3 linked regions of the Drosophila melanogaster genome follow. The protein of the gene in region 2 interacts with the protein of the main gene of each other region in a pairwise test. Each region holds a gene or a part of one and is shown on either strand. Other genes may lie near its edges.

Region 1 (5,249 bases), on a different chromosome or scaffold from region 2:
GATATTTGTTTAACAAGTTGATTATTTCGAAAGTCAATTGTATATTGTTATGCCCTTGTAAGTTACATTTTGACTGTACAGATGCTTTGATTTCGTTACTCTCGATTACAATTAAATCTGTCCGTCTGGCCATTAACCTCTTTGATATGTAATCTAGTTAGAAATGTACTGCTGGCCAACCTGCAAGGGTACGAGCGAATCGGTGGGCCGAATCGAAATAAGTTATTTTATCGCCTAAAGTCTTAACCTAACTAACCTATTATAATTAACTTTTAAATGATATATATTTTGTGTAAAGTAAATATGTGCAACCAGGACGCTAAATGTAACTTTAATTCTACCAACGAAACTTACGTTGGCGGGGGTTTGGTTTTGAAGTGCTTCCGGATTAGAGTACGTCTAAACATTCATTCCTCCAGCCAGGCATGGTATTTAGCAAAGCTTAACCTTCATATTTGGGGCTTCCTGAGGTGCGAGCTGGTTGAAAGTTAAGTAGCTGGCAAAGTAAACAGGCGGTTGTAATTCTATACTGATACTGCAGACATTCGTAAATCTTAGGTATTATAATTCCGGGAAGGGATGACGTATAGATAATTAATGAGGGAGCAAGTGAAATGCAAGACTTGAGTGGAACAGCCTTCGGTTTGAATGGTTTGACTCCCTTTGACTGCCTTTTTGCCGTCCCGCCTGATTTGCATAGTTTGGGGCTGACCGTCTACTCGCTCAATAATGAATGCGTCAGTTTCAAATGGCATTACCCCCGAAAACGAAGTTGATAGTCTGCGACAAGTAGTATGTGCAATGCTATGTGGCACCATAAATAACGTGGCCATTCTAGTGTCGCATTCTGGGTCCTTTTGCTTAGCAATGACAATAGTAAAAGTGCTGAAAGGGAAGCACGATTAGAGCTATTACTTACACTGGCTATGTTTATGTTTTTATATGTACTGTATGCATTCATGGCGCAGCAATTCTGCAAAATTTCTGCATATTTGTTAGGGTGGACCTGAGTTGTACTCATGAGTACTCATACAAATCACTCATACGTAGTGTGGACCTTTTCATTTGATTTTCACAAGGAAAGGCATGTCAGTATCCAAAAGCAATATTAAGTAAAATAAATGTCCTGGTTGGGATCTTACTTTCTCCATAAAAATAAAGTCATGGGATGTTTCCGAAAGAGGAATCGTGTTAGGAATCTATGTTAGCTTGCCTAACAGGTCGTATGAGTAATTTATTAAACGCTTGGCTTTCTTGTTATATCTGATCATTAACTTGTATATAGGCTATGATTCCCCATGAAAGTCCACCCTACGGCACGTACTCCGGTACTTGCACAGGCAATCAATAAAGATTTTTTTTTGGGGAGTTCGGGTGGCGGGTGCTTTGTCGCGATGCGGCAACAACAGCTGTTGCAACGCCAGACGACCCCCCAAAAAAAGGAAAACCGAGCAGCAGCCAGACGCCGGCAACCGGGGAACCTCATCATCGTCATCGTACTCCAGCACCACCCGTTTCAAGAAGCAATCAATGCACTTCTGGCCATGTGCCAAGTTTCTCTTCCGAAAACCTGGAGAGGAGCAGAGAATCGGCCAAAAGAGAGGAGCAGCGGTGTATAAGAGCTGGTTGGGTTCCATTCGGTTGCGGTTGAAAAGCTAAAGTTAATTTAAAGTTCAACCCGTTTGGTTTCTAACTTTTCGGAACTTTAACCGTGTATTTTGGGTTTGGTTTATATAGTTTGGTACAGTAGTAAAAGATACGAAACATTTGCGTTGAAATCAATTTCAAATTGTTGTTTAATTAAGAAGCCAAGTTCCTTATTTACGTAGGTGCTCACAGTGGAATATAAGAAATAATTGTTCCTAAAATAATCCTTTGTACACGAATACAAGAACTTACTCAATAGTTTAAAATGCTTACCTATATTTTTGTAACGAAATATAATTCATTTTACATACAAATAAAAATAAACCGAATTTATTTGCATTCAGCTTGGTAAATAATAGAGTAACTGCGTGACTGCATGCGATGCAAAATTATCTTTGAAGTGCAGACTTTTCGAGTTGTGCCGCGTCACTCGTTTACCCAAGGCACCCACACTGTCGCACTCGCAGACACACACACACACGCATACCAGTGCGGCCGTGTAGCAACAACAATGTTGAGCAAGGTGCGCTGAGCCTCGCTCTTTCGAATCTTTCTCTCCGTTTCGGTTTCAGTTCACTTCTGGCTCTCGTGCAAAGCGCATCGTACAGCGGATATATCGCATCTGTATCGTATCGTAAAACGAATCGTATTCGCATCCGTGTCGGTCGCATCTGCGTGCTAGTGTGTGTGAGTGTGCCCGGGTGTGTGCGAGTTGGTGTGTCCGCTGCAATGGTCTTGGCTATTTGAAGCGCAAAAGTGCAGTATTTACTGTTTGGTGATTCACTCAATCATTAGAATACCCAAGAGATAACTATCATATCTTGGGGTTTTCCCAACGAACCGATCCGATAAAATGGAAACCCTGTAAACTCATGCTCCCCCGCCTTAAAAATCGGTTCAGTGATTTACGTGTGGGTGTGGGTGCAGTGCTTAAATTATACACGTAAAATTTAAACAAATAAAGGCTGTTAAAAAATCGTAAACTCGAGATCCAGCTAGTGCCGAATTCAGTGCTAAAGTGAAACTTCTTTGTGCAAACAACAAAAACCGTTAATTGCCAGCGCCATTCTTTTAAAGGCCCCGACTTATAAAGAGTGTTTTCAGTGCCTATATGGTTTTACTTAAGTCTTTTGTTTATCGTTGTACCCATATTGTTTTCAGTTTATCAATATATAGATAATTATCTAAATGGAGGAGCTTTGTTAATTGATATAACAAGCCTTAAGCGTTAATGTTCCCATCTCATAGGTCCAAGTCAGAAAACCAATCCCCTTTCACTTTAAACAGATCAGAATCCAAGGATTAGGTCGCTTATTCTTTTTCCAAACTAATGAACAATTAAATGGCACGGCGTTGTTGGTCGCAAAGTTTCCATTGCCCGATGCAGAGACCCAAAACCAAAATAAACGGAACCCTTTCACTTTAAAATCCACAGAACCCCAAAGATCGAAAACGAGTTTCGCAAAAGAGCAAAGAGCCGAGCGGCGGCCATGCTTATATTCCATATCGAATAACTGAATAGCCGACCAATAAAGTGTTACTTGGCACATCCAACATCCAACGTTCAACTAGCAATCCAACTTACAATATCCAGCATCCAACTAGCTCCGTTGCATTGGCCTATATTCAAAATAGATCAGAGATCGACTCGAGAGACCGGAGGAGATGTGGATGAGGTGGTGACGAGGAGCTGCGGAGGAGATCGCCATGTGAGAAGAGCAAAACTAGTTTCCCATTTGCGCGCTTATGCTAAGTAATAATAATAAATAAGCGCAGTAGTCTCTGGCTTGCCGTTCGAGAAGTGACCTAAAAATACTGGTTTCGAGTGCGGTTTTGGCGTGAGAACGTGTAGCACAGCGAAGGCACCACCACCACCACCAATGGCCACCACAGCCGCCGGATCAGCAGCCACCACCACCAACACGATGGTGGTGAAGCGGCCAGGACCACCAGTGCCGCCCAGGCCCAAAGCAGCAGCTCAGCTGGCCAATGGAGCAGGAGCCCCTCCGATCATTCAGAAGAAGCCCACCTTCGTGAGCCAGCTGAGTGCAGTGGGTCGTACCTTGGTCTACAAGTCGCCAACGGTCAATCTGCCCAAGAAACAGGCCCAGACCCAGACGCCCACCACGGCGGTGCCAACGCCGCCGGTGAAGCCCCTGAAGCTGCGCAAGGCACCGGATGTGCCCACGGCCAAGCCCAGGGATTCAATGACCTCGGTGGTCACGGTCAACCGGCATAACTCGATAAGCGTGATCGGGAGCACGCCACAGACCACACCCCGCAAGGACACCCGCTTGAGCCTGGGAAAGGTGGACTTCGAGAGGGCGGGCCTCCAGCCGGCCAGTCAGCCACTTCCCAGGCCACGGAAAATTGTTCAAGTGCCCGTGGCCACTCTAGATGTGGAAGACATACCAGTGGTGGCTCCCAGCCCATCATCAAATGGACTCTTCAGGCGATCAAAGACCACCCTGGATGGCAGCCAGAAGGATTCGGCATCCTCCCCGCACAATGGAGGAGGATTCCTGTCCGGACGGACCGTGGAGATCAAGAATAATCTGAAGAACGCCGCCGAGCGTTTGTTCTCGGAGATAATCATCAACCAGAGCCAGAAACAGGCAGCCACCGACACCACCATCATAACCAAGCACGAGGCCCTGAAGCAGGAGTCCGATGTCCTGGCCATCCAGTCATCGGGCAACTGCATGAGGATCAATGTTAACGGCGGCCAGACGAGCACCATGAAGAGCTCGATCAGCGTGGGCAACACGCCGCAAAAGAAGCAAGCCTTCCACGAGATGCTCATCTCGGAGCTGGCTGCCATGCGGAACAAGTCCTGCTCCCTGGAGCAGCTACCCACCGCCAAGTCGCCGCCACCCACCACTTCCACGCCCAAAAGCGTGGCATCTCGCAGGCGCTACAACTCTATAGATGATGCCGACACCGAGGATGTGGATGCGGACAACGTGGAGGATGCCGATGGTGACGTCGACGAGGAGGACACCCTCACCTACGCAGTCAATAAATCGCTGAAGGAGAACATTGGCAAGGAGGGCTCGTCCTCGAGGAAGCGCTGCCCCTCGGGCTGCTCCACAGACTCCTCGCCCTACGGAACCGAGCGATCCCAGCGCATCCGCACCTCGGATTGGATCGAGGTGGGCGACAACGGCACGGCAGTTACTCTGACTAGCTGCCACATCAGCCTGGAGGACTCGGGCATGGAGGACGAGGAGCGGCTGGACGACATGTCCTCGGGAGTGGGCGACAGCTGGGACAGCGTCAAGGAGGCCGAGAGCGAGAAGCGTTCTCGCAACGGAAAGCGGTGAGTCTCGAAACTATTACTATAATTAAAATTATATCTAGTAAGTGCATCTAATGAGATTCGTTGATAATGAAGGAACAGATAGTTTTAGCATCCATAAATGAAGCTATAACATTATTTATTGCTATTGCCGTTCATTAAACGTTAATGAGTATGGAAATTAGCTGTTTGCCGAGGGAAAACAAAATCTTGACCATCAATTGAAGATCTTTAAAAACGGCCCCATACGTTGGAGGTCGTAATAGTTTCGAGCTGAGCCCGATCATCCAAGATCGCCCATTGC
Region 2 (4,868 bases):
GTGTGCAAACAGGAGGTTGGTTAGCAACCCTAAGCGGAAAATTTGTTTAAACAACTGAGCAAATATCGCCCGCTGGAGAGGGGTAACTTTTTTATGTACTCCCTCTTCGCATATTTTTTTTTTTTTGGGAATTTCCCCCCCAAAAAACAAAAAGAAATTGAAAATTGCTAAGCCGGCAATCAAAATACAAACATCAGGCGAAACTCAACGAGTACCATTGTTGTCCAACTGAAGCACCTGAATTTATGGCACAAGGACATACCACCACACACACACACACACACCTCCCCCCCCCACACACACACAACTACCACCCCCCTGGTGAGTCACGGTTTAAATGTGCATTTCGCAACACATTTACGATCCTTTCTACTCGTAATCCCTTCAATCGCGCTCTAAACTGCTAACTGGTTCCTGATTCCCCAGGATTCCTGGTCGCTGGCGCTTTGTTGCTCTAAATAGCCCTTTCCAAATCACTGGACTCGCACAAAGGACTCGCCCTCAATTGCGCAACTATTTCGATTTCAAAAAAAAAAAATCAAATTAAATAAAATAAAATAAGTGAAGAGGAGAGAAATGGGCCAAACTGGGCGCGCAGCCAAAGAGGATATTTAGTTATATATGAAAATAAAGTTTCAAAGGATCTCAACTATAGAATTTGAAGGCACCTATTGGCCTATTAAAACGATTTATACAGATATGTTTCTTTTCGTATTCAAGTAAAGTAAAAAGGCGAAAAAATTAAAAATGGAACAGTAGCTCCAAGATGACCAACGATGACGGTCAAGAGACGGATGCGGGCTCCACAGTCCAAGAAGGTGATATCGTTCTTCAAGAATCATCGCCGCATGCTCCGCAGGCAGGGCATCGAGGATCTGCTGCATCTGGCCGAACGTGGCCACGTCGAACCGATTAGAGATAGAGACTAGGAGATCGGCATCGAATGCTACATATACGGTATTTATTCCACATTTCCATTCAAATTTGAAAAGCTTAGTTTAAGTTCTAGGATTATTGAATTCCTCTTGCATTTAAATATTTTGTAGTCTACTTTTAGCCGTCTTTAAGAACGACTTCAACCCTCTGCTAATCAGAATGTTAATTCTAAAGCTGGTCGCATTTCTTATTAGAATAGCGTTAGATGTTTTGCGTACTCATCAAAAATTTCCCAATTGAATTAATCATTACTTATGCTACTACTTATGCAGCATTGTCCTTCCTGGCATTGACTGTGACTATTACTATATTATTGTAGGAAGGACTGCACGCATACCAAGAGCGCGATAAATAGCGATGACAGCAGCGAATTTTCCCGCAACGAAGCCGACGACCAGCGAACTTAAGCTCTTTTGGCCATCTAAAGGATGGAAACATTCGATATATTAGCCAAGCCGCTAGCCAGTAACTTATATAACCCATATTAGCTATTTCAAGATTTAATAAATTGTTCCGGAGGCCATATATTTAAAAAATGTTGGTTTGCTCATATTTGATTTTTAACCATTACATATAAGGCTGAACAGCTTTTTCTAGCCAGGCTGGCAGCACTGCCGGATCAGCTGACTGACTTTTCTGTGTGCGCGCCATCCCTAGAAATTAACGTGCTAGTGGAAGTGGAAGCGAATTGAAATCGCGCGCTGCTCTATTCGCTTGTTTATGCCAAAGTCCATGGCTACATTGGATCGGATCTGTAATTAGTCGTCTGGAGGAACTGGACGGATTGGCTCAGTGACACCATTAGCCATTGACTTTTCTAGTGAGTTCGAGTTCCACACAATGTTCTATTCTAGCGCAGATATGGAATAAAAAAAAATATATTTGGCTTGGTTTGTTATGTAAAACGCGTATCAATTCTCTGGCGCGTTGATAACAGCAGCAATTCAGTTGATAAACAAACACAAAACCCATGCGGAAACAATTGAAACGACCCCACACCCCAACACCGCCACCCACCACCCACACGCACCTTGGGTTGTCGCTCAAGGTTGCGCTAGAGATGAGCAGGAAGCAGTGACTGCTATCGTGATTGCCATTAATATTAGTATTAGTATTAGTATAGTGATAACACAGTTTTTTATATATATGTACATATATAGTGATACTTTCAGTTGAATCTATATTTTAGTTTCATTATACTCATGTCACCGGTTTTCTGTCAAAGTCACACTGTTCTGCGCATCTCTATCGCCACTATTTGTTACTGACGTTAGCGCCAAATTCGAAATGTCAAGAACAGAAATCCGAACGTAACAGCGGCCATATCGCTTATCTAGCGACGGCGGCAGATAGTGGCAACCTGCTCCTCCGTCTCGCTCTGCTCCGCCCATCGCAGCAGATTTGCATCGTTGTTTGGAGCCATGCGGCTATTTCACCTCTTTCACCTGTCTGTTTGCCTCGTTTCACACACACACACAGCATGCCCAGGAATTGGCTTCACCTCGCATTGTGGATAAACTGAGACGGTAAAGTCGTTGTCGCCGCCACCGCCTCCGCCACGCCCACCAAGCGGACAGCACCCAGATCTCCGGTTGCGAACTAGTAGTGACGCCAACGTGGTCGATCGCCGTCGTCGTCATCAACAACGTTGTGTTCGTCGAACTGTGAGATTATTTAATGTTGGCCACCGGTTTTCTGGCTCGCAGAACCGTACTTAACCAGCCGGCGTTCAATTCATGGAGCACACTCCTCCGGACCGCTAGAAAACGACCCACATCCACGGTTGCCGCCAGAGTTCCATTAAAGCTTCAGTCACAGCAGCAATTTACAAGAGCATACTCGTCGTAAGAATTGAAAGATGTACATACATATGTATTTAACACATGATTGAAAACTATTTGTATCCCACGATTTAGCTCCAAAACCATGGACACGCCGGCGGATGTATTCCGCGGCATTACGGATCGATTTGCCGGAGTAACAGTCGATGGGCGCGAGGAGAACGTGGACAAATCCAGTTTCCGGGACAAGCTCACAAGTAAGAATATATATCTTAAAATATGTCGGTATCTTTGCCTGGACGTATATTTTTTGTATCATTGTATCTTCTAAGTCTTCGTGCTATCATAAGTTGATTAAAAGTTTATCTATCTAAAGTTGGGGTACTAAATTAAATTTCCAAAATCATTGCTCTCCACTTTTATCAATTTAAAAGTTGTCTATGACTATAAATAGTCATAGACAATAAACGGCTTATAATTTTAATTAAATCTGTGTCACCAATTACCAAATTATATTAATAACGAAATACCTTTTAGAATCCCTGGACTTTTGGACGACGAACAAGAACCGGGCCATTTGGTTCCGCGTGTACAAGGAGCAGGCTGATTGGGTGCCCATTCTGGCGGAGAACGGCTTTGATTTCCATCATGCCAAGACCGGTGTGGTGGTCATGTACCGCTGGTTGCCGGAGCACGAGTCTAGCAACCTACCCACCTACGCCCACACGCTAATGGGCGTCGGCGGACTGGTTATCAACGAACAGGACGAGGTGCTGGTGGTGTCCGATCGTTTTGCAATGATACCAAACAGCTGGAAGCTGCCCGGCGGCTATGTGGAGCCGCGGGAGAATCTCATCGATGCGGCAATACGAGAGGTGGCCGAGGAGACGGGAATCCGCACCGAATTCCGCTCAGTGGTCAGTCTGCGGCATGCCCATGGCGGCACCTTCGGCTGCTCCGACATGTACGTGGTCATCGCCCTAAAGCCACTGAATTTGGACTTTACGCGCTGCGAACGCGAGATAGCGCGCATCCAGTGGATGCCCATCGCGGAGTATCTGAAGCATCCGCAGGTCCACGAGACGAACAGGCAGTTCGTCTGCACCTTTTTGGACTACCAGAAGCGCGGCCTGACCCTCACCTGTCGCGACGAAGTGCATCAGGTGCTAAAGAAGAAATACAATCTGTATTACGTGGATCGGGAGCAGCCACAGGAGCAGCAGGATAAAAAGAATTCGTGAGACTTGTCGGTGCAATGGCCAAATCCTTAGTGCAATTTTTATAAAGTCCTTTCTTCCAAAAGCCAGCAGCATCACAACTGCGCATTCAAATGTTCACAATGTAGTCAATAAATGAATTTTTTTGTATATAATTATATGCATATATCAATTAAAGCTCACACAGCCTTTTACAAAAGCTTTTCTTTTGATACCATTTTTAGAAACGCCAATAATTTAAAATATGGCATTATTTTGAATATGACGCCCAAACATGGTAAATACTTCCTTAGAAGGTAAGCCAATAAGGATTAAGGATGTAAGCTTCATACTTTGAAAAATATGTTTATTAAAAACAAAAATGAAAAGAAATTATTATTCTCTCCTGTTTTTTTCAACTTATTTTCAATGATATGCAAAAACCAGAAGTCGCACAAATGAGACGAAACTCGCATACGTAATGATTCTAAAAAGTTGTGGTTTGATGTACTATAATTTCCAAACGAAACATAGGCCATTTATTGGGTCAAGTTGATTTTAAACTCTTTGTTGTACGAATGCCATCTATAGACCCGTGGCCTCGGATATCGGCCAGATGCGGCAGAGCACGCGGCTCCGGATGAGGCCCACCGGAATGGGTCCGTAGTAGCGGGAATCCGAGCTGTTTCCCTTGTTGTCACCCTCAATCCAAACGTGTCCGCGCGGCACATAGTCCTTGACCATCACGGGCTTCTTCTTGTCATCCGAATTACCACTAAACTCCGCCTCAATGGGAATGGGCTTCTGGATTAGCACCTGATCACCGGAAACGGCCACGATACGCTTGCAAATGAACTGATCGGCTTTGATGGGCGATATGGCGATGACTATGTCGCCGGGCTGGTAGGTTCGCCAGTGTTTCGACAAGCGCTCGGTGAGAAGAACGTTGTCCGAG
Region 3 (5,748 bases), on a different chromosome or scaffold from region 2:
GTGCTCCGGTGAGAGGCAGGAGCTCCAATTGAATGGCAGTGGAATCCTGAGCATTCAAAGCGACTGTGCCGTGCGCAGTCCAGCTGTCGCCCTCCGTGGAGAAGTCCGGGAAAGAGTTCCTTCGAAAGCAGGTTACGCAACGCTGCAGAAGGAACCAAAATCTTCCCAGGAATCCGTGACCTTGGAATCATTTAATCAACTCCTGGCGATCGTGGGCAAACTGGAGCTGAATCAGAAAAAGCTGGAAGCAGTCCGAGATTACCCAATGGTAGTCGTAGTAGTAGTAGCTGTGTGCGCAGCCATATTGCTGGTCGCCTTACTTGTTTCGGCGACCTGGTTATATCGCACCCATCGGAGCAAACAACTTGCGCAGGCTCAAAATCTTGTCAACGAAGTCAATGGTCTCCAGGATCCACAGAATCGCACCACAACCTGCAATCTTCCGCTGCTGGAAAAACATGAAATCTAAAAAAAAAAGAAGATGCGGCTGCGTGGTGCATCTGTTAAGTTCCGATGAAATTTCAAAGAGAGCTATGATTTTTTAACAATTTTTTGTGTCGATTATAATACAGTTTTATTTGTTTGGTTTGATTGCAATAAATATTAGTTACTCTCATCATGTACACGTTGTAAGTCTCAGGGCTTCGGTAAGGGTTCCTTATTCGCACTTAGAAATTTAGAAAATTGGGATCGGGGGCGTGGCATGCTCGGGATGGCCATGTGATCTGGGACTACGTTCGACTATTTTCTTCAAATCCGGTCTCTGCACCGAGTGCACTATGTTACAATTGCAGCCAGCGCTTCGTTTACAATAAGAACTATACTATTTCAGCTAATACAAGGAAAACAATGCCAATTACAAACTATTACACCGCTCGCAGCGGCGCATTGCACTTTGTGTCTCTGATTTTTGTATCAGTGGCCGTTCATGAAATAAAGCTTGATGCGGAAAGGCGGAAACAAGAAGAGCATGCGGCGGTTGTCCGGTTTATCCTACTTGGCGTCGTCAAGCACCTGCACGATGAGCCTTGAAATCAGTGCCGTAACTTCGGCCGCATTTGGTATGAGGAAGCGGTCCATGTCGGTTATGAGCAGACCATCGCCATCGGGGAATCCGTACTTGAACGTGATGAGGTCGCGGTGTCGCTTCTTGGCCGTGATCTTCACGATGCTCGCCAGCGGGCGACGCACCATTATCTGCGCCTGGCCGCGTCCCAGTTCCCGCAGCACCACCAGTTGCCCGGGCGTGATGATCAAATGACTGTCGTACATGTAGCCGCTCATGTGCACCTCCTGGCACTTGAAGGCGTTGATGATGTCCGCCGTCTTGAAGTACTGGTTCAGATTCACGATCTCCTTGCCGTCGCTGGTCAGCGGTGCGTCATCCCGCTCCCCCGCCCCGTCCAAGGCATCCTCGTTCTCATCGTCGATGCTGAACACAGGTGCCACATTGCGGTAGCGCTTGCCGTTCCGCTCCTTTGCACTAACATGGCGCTCTTGCACCGGCGCCGATGGCACACCATTGGTGCCGCTAGCCGTGGCTCCGCCATTTGCACTGGGATTCACGATAATGTCTAGTAGTTTGCCCTTGACCTCGGCAGACTTTGACTTCATGGCGGCGGAGAACTTGCTGAATAGGTCTGTAGAGGATGGCGTCGAAGTCTTAAGCGGCGCTGATTTAGTCTGCAGGAGCGGAATTGAGAAATTATAAGTATACTAATTCGATTCAAAGTATTGTACATTTCCTGAGTTATCGAAGTCTTACCTGCTGCGCGTTGTGCTGCTGGCAGACGAGGCACTTGCGCGCATTGTGATCCTCCAGGCAATCGGCCATTTGATCGCCGAAGTAGTCGTGGATGGAGGCGTAGCCACCGGTCAGCAGCGACACGTAGTGGGTGTTCTTCTGCAGGAACGAGGCCACCACCATGTGTGTGTACTGGTCCTCTTCGACGCGACCGCTGCCCATGAAGCACAGATGCTCGCCGCCGGCGTTCGAGTTGGCCTCGATGGCCTGCCGCTGGGCGGTCAGGAGGCCCTGGACGGCGGTGGCAAAGGCGACAGGTTCCTGGAGCATGAGGTTGCAGTCCAGATGGAATGCCGTGGACAGGTGGCCGGCGTTGTATTGCTCGGCCGGGCGGCAGTCAACGAGAAAGAAACGCACTGCATCCGGCACAGGAAACTCTGTGGCCGAGTTCTCTACCAGCTCGTAAACGGAGACGGGCAGGCACAGGGCCTGTGATACCTTGTTTGCCTCCTCCTGGCTGCGCGGTGTATCATTCTGCTTGCCGTACAGCGCCTTCAGATAGTCCGTCTTGAAGGAAGTTGGTGTCTTGAGCGCGTAGTACTGGGCCAGGGAGCAAAAGTCGGGGACGTCGTCGAACTCCAGGGCGCACGGCATAAGGCTCAGGAACTTGATGATCTCCTCCTTGGACGAGCTCCTCATCTGCAGGATCTGCTCCCTGCCGTTGATCAAGATTATTAGCGCCAGGAAGAAGACCATGAAGGGATCGGCGTTCTGAAAGTACAGGTCCCACATGGCAATGATCACTGACAGGCTGCTGCAGGAGGCGAAAAGCGACTGGAACCAGGTCAGCGAGTACAAGTCGGGCGTGATCTTCTTGGTGTCCAGCAGCGTGCACAGCTCCGGATCGTGGTAAAGCAGGAGCAGTCGGAAGACATGAAAGACATTGCCCTTGGGCCGGCAACCCTTGGGTATGTACGTGTCTCGTATGGACTCGAACAGGTTGAATGTGTCGGAGCGATTCAGCTTCAGGGCGAACAGCGGGAGCAGCAATTCAATCCATCCGTTGTCCGGCTCATACTGAAGGTTTCTGTTCTTGCAGTAGAAGGTGATGATGGACTCGAGGTCGGATACCACCGAGACCTTGTCCTCCTCATCGTTGCCCATGCGATCGACGTGCCGCTGGCAATCCTCGCGCAGTTGGCTTTGGAAGGGCAGGTCGTAGATCTCGTTGAAGAGCGACATTTGATCCGATTTGTGGCGCACATCCAGGCACACTTGCCACACGTCCGGACGCAGTGCCTCCGGCAGAGCCTTGCCCTGGCATATGCCGTAGATGTCGTTGACAGTGCAGTCGTCCAGCAGTGCCGACTCCAGCTCAATGATCCTGCATACAAGAGAGGGATGTCCATCACAATCAGTTGCTTGGTACTTGTTCTGCTCATGCTACGGGTGAAGGGGACGTCAACGTGTCTAAATAACCAGCTGCTGATAAGGCGGAGCACCCACACCCCCAGGTGCTCCGCGTCCCGCTGGCCCAGCACCAAGCTGCTGACTCAATCAGCGAAACAAATGGTGGTCTGTTCGAGAAAGCCAAAGGCGATGGATGCCAAAGAAAATGAGGTGCTGGAGCTGAATCTCTAGACTCTCTGACTAATCTTAGTTGTTGACGTAGCCCCAACCCAATGTTTATTATTTACCACATATTCTCCTCCATGATTTCGCTGTGGGCTAGTTCCTACGTTTCGGATTCGAAATGCTGCCTTAGTGCAATCTATTCAGCTGCAGAAGGCCAGGCTGGTGCATTTTCTTTCTGTTCCAGGTGCGAATAATGATTTTTGTGATATTCCAAATTTATTTTGATCGAATTTTGGTTACGTTATGATGGTTACGTTTATAGCGATGGGAGGTGCTTACGTCTGCCACGGCGCACGTTAGAGATGGCAGTGTGCATATGAACTAACAATACAATTGTATTAAGATATTTGTAATAAATCGTTAAAAATGATTACAAACTTGATACTTGTCAGAATGCTAAAATTTGAGATAACAAATTAGAAAATAAATTTAAGTTATATTGTTATATATATATAAGGTTATTCAGCGGGATCTAAGCAAACTATCTATATTATTTTCATATTACAGGTATCAAAAGAGAATAGAAAATTTTAGTTTGTTCATTTGAACATTGAAGTTGAAATGCATAACGCTTTCTGTCCTATCGATTAGTGTTGCCAACTACGATAATCGACAGCTGACCACCTCTAGTTGCCAGCAATTTTGCAAGCAAAGTTTTGTTTTGCCTGAATTTTATCCAAATTTAACTTAAAATTCGGTTGCGTTGGCCTAAATTTGGATACTTAACTTCAAGCTGGTCGACTGAGCGTGCTGCTAGTATAAAGGTGAGTGAGCTTAGAGGCCAGCACACGTAACACAGATTTTAGGCATTTCCATGCAAACACACATGTATGGAGACCAAACAAAATTTGCAAAAGCAATAACAGCAACAAATACACGAAGCGAATGCAATTGCTCACTCATGCATGCAAACACACACTCACACACATGTAGCCTTCACCCAAATAAAATTTAGCTTGCATCTATTGATTTGCATGTTGCACTTGTGCAAAGAAGTGTTGTAAGAAGTGCGGGGAGGGGTAAGCGTGCAACAGCTGTGTGCCTGCTCCCCTCCCCCTTGACTGTGTTATCAACCACCCCCCCACCCCCCTTTATCCAAACACTTGGCCAATCAACACAAGCTGCGCTTTAAGCCACGTGTGTACTTTTTGCTGTTTGCATGCCAGCACGTATCTGCTTAGCCAAGGAATCCTCTAATTGCGTTTCTCTTACCCTTATGGAGATGAAAACGGGCAGCAACAACAACCACATCTCCGCCAGCAGCAGCAGCAGCAACAACAACAACAACAGCTCATTGGTGCAACAGCAGCAGCAACGCTCCACCACTTCCGTTTCCGTCTCCTCGTCTCACATTGTCACCGAGTGGGAGGATGGCATCATTTTCGATGTGGACGATCCCGACTTTTGCAATCTGGCCACCGACAAGCTGAACTTCATAGGTGAGTGCGCCATAGCGAGTTCGTACATATAATTAGCCACCCGATTATATTTATAGTCTAGACATCGGAGTAATCTATGTTATTTACGATTAGCCGTAGCGAAGCCCACTAATTGAGCAGCGGAAAACGCTAGTCGCACCTTTGTACTAGCTGCATCGGCTTATCGCCAAGTGGTTTTCCCGTCTCTTGGAGTCCCGGCTTTTGTCCGATCGGGCGGAAACTGCCGTACACTTTTATTAATGCCCATACACTCCGGCTTTATCTTCGAATGGCATTGATAGTGGGTCGGTCGCCTATAAGCAGGGGCCATCAATTTTACAATCCCGGAATAGCCAACACTCTGTCTTCCCCAAAGAGTTCCATTTAAAATTAGTACCATTCCGTGCTGTTTTTAGCACGTACCCGTACGCATCCCACGAAAATTGGCCGATCCATCAATTACCATTCGAAATGGATGAGAGAGTGGGCTCCCAGTGGGGCTAATTGTTTTGCCCGTTTGCCCGTTTATCTGCCATCTGATTAGACGTACAAGCGGGTCGTGCGACTAGCCTATTCACACGTTTCGCTTGTCACCCAGAACTCAGAACGCCCAATTCACGCGTTTGTCATGTGACTGCGGATCGGATCGAAGCGAATCGGACAAGCCTCTCCAGCCGATCATGCCTCTCCTTCGCTTCATCGGCTGCGGAATGGGTGCCAAAAGAGTGTGCAAACATTTCCGATGGCCCGGCAGTTCAAGTGGAATTTTTCCCCAATTTTGGTAAACAATAACATTGCCGGCTTATGCGTGCTAGCGTGAGCTGTTTTTTGCATGCATATTGCCCCACCGACAACCGGCACGTGTCGCCCATAAAAGGCTTCTGTGGAGCAGGGCTTATGGAGCCAAACTTGCGTGTGAGCCGCCCACCATGAGAGTTGCAAATGAACTCC

What was found. Proteins that work in one complex are often made in the same cells at the same time.
Region 1: the proteins of CG8128 (region 2) and CG31038 interact in a two-hybrid assay, tested with the Drosophila melanogaster proteins (one large-scale study listed by BioGRID).
Region 3: the proteins of CG8128 (region 2) and TBC1D23 interact in a two-hybrid assay, tested with the Drosophila melanogaster proteins (one large-scale study listed by BioGRID).

The regions. Positions count from the first base shown.
Region 1 is NT_033777.3:29,874,845-29,880,093, forward strand, and holds the start of CG31038 (uncharacterized protein), read left to right. Parts: upstream 1-2,214; 5' UTR 2,215-2,271; exon of another isoform or gene 2,272-3,082; 5' UTR 3,083-3,527; coding exon 3,528-4,966; intron 4,967-5,249.
Region 2 is NC_004354.4:15,695,908-15,700,775, forward strand, and holds CG8128 (uncharacterized protein), read left to right. Parts: upstream 1-1,586; 5' UTR 1,587-1,756; intron 1,757-2,125; exon of another isoform or gene 2,126-2,415; 5' UTR 2,416-2,613; coding exon 2,614-2,780; intron 2,781-2,852; coding exon 2,853-2,974; intron 2,975-3,254; coding exon 3,255-3,958; 3' UTR 3,959-4,127; downstream 4,128-4,868. Other genes in the region: CG9240 (uncharacterized protein), read right to left, coding at 4,499-4,868.
Region 3 is NT_033779.5:1,127,199-1,132,946, reverse strand, and holds TBC1D23 (TBC1 domain family member 23), read right to left. Parts: upstream 3,632-5,748; 5' UTR 3,459-3,631; coding exon 3,442-3,458; intron 3,129-3,441; coding exon 1,766-3,128; intron 1,684-1,765; coding exon 994-1,683; 3' UTR 536-993; downstream 1-535. Other genes in the region: iris, read left to right, coding at 1-469; Pino (pinocchio), read left to right, coding at 4,602-4,818.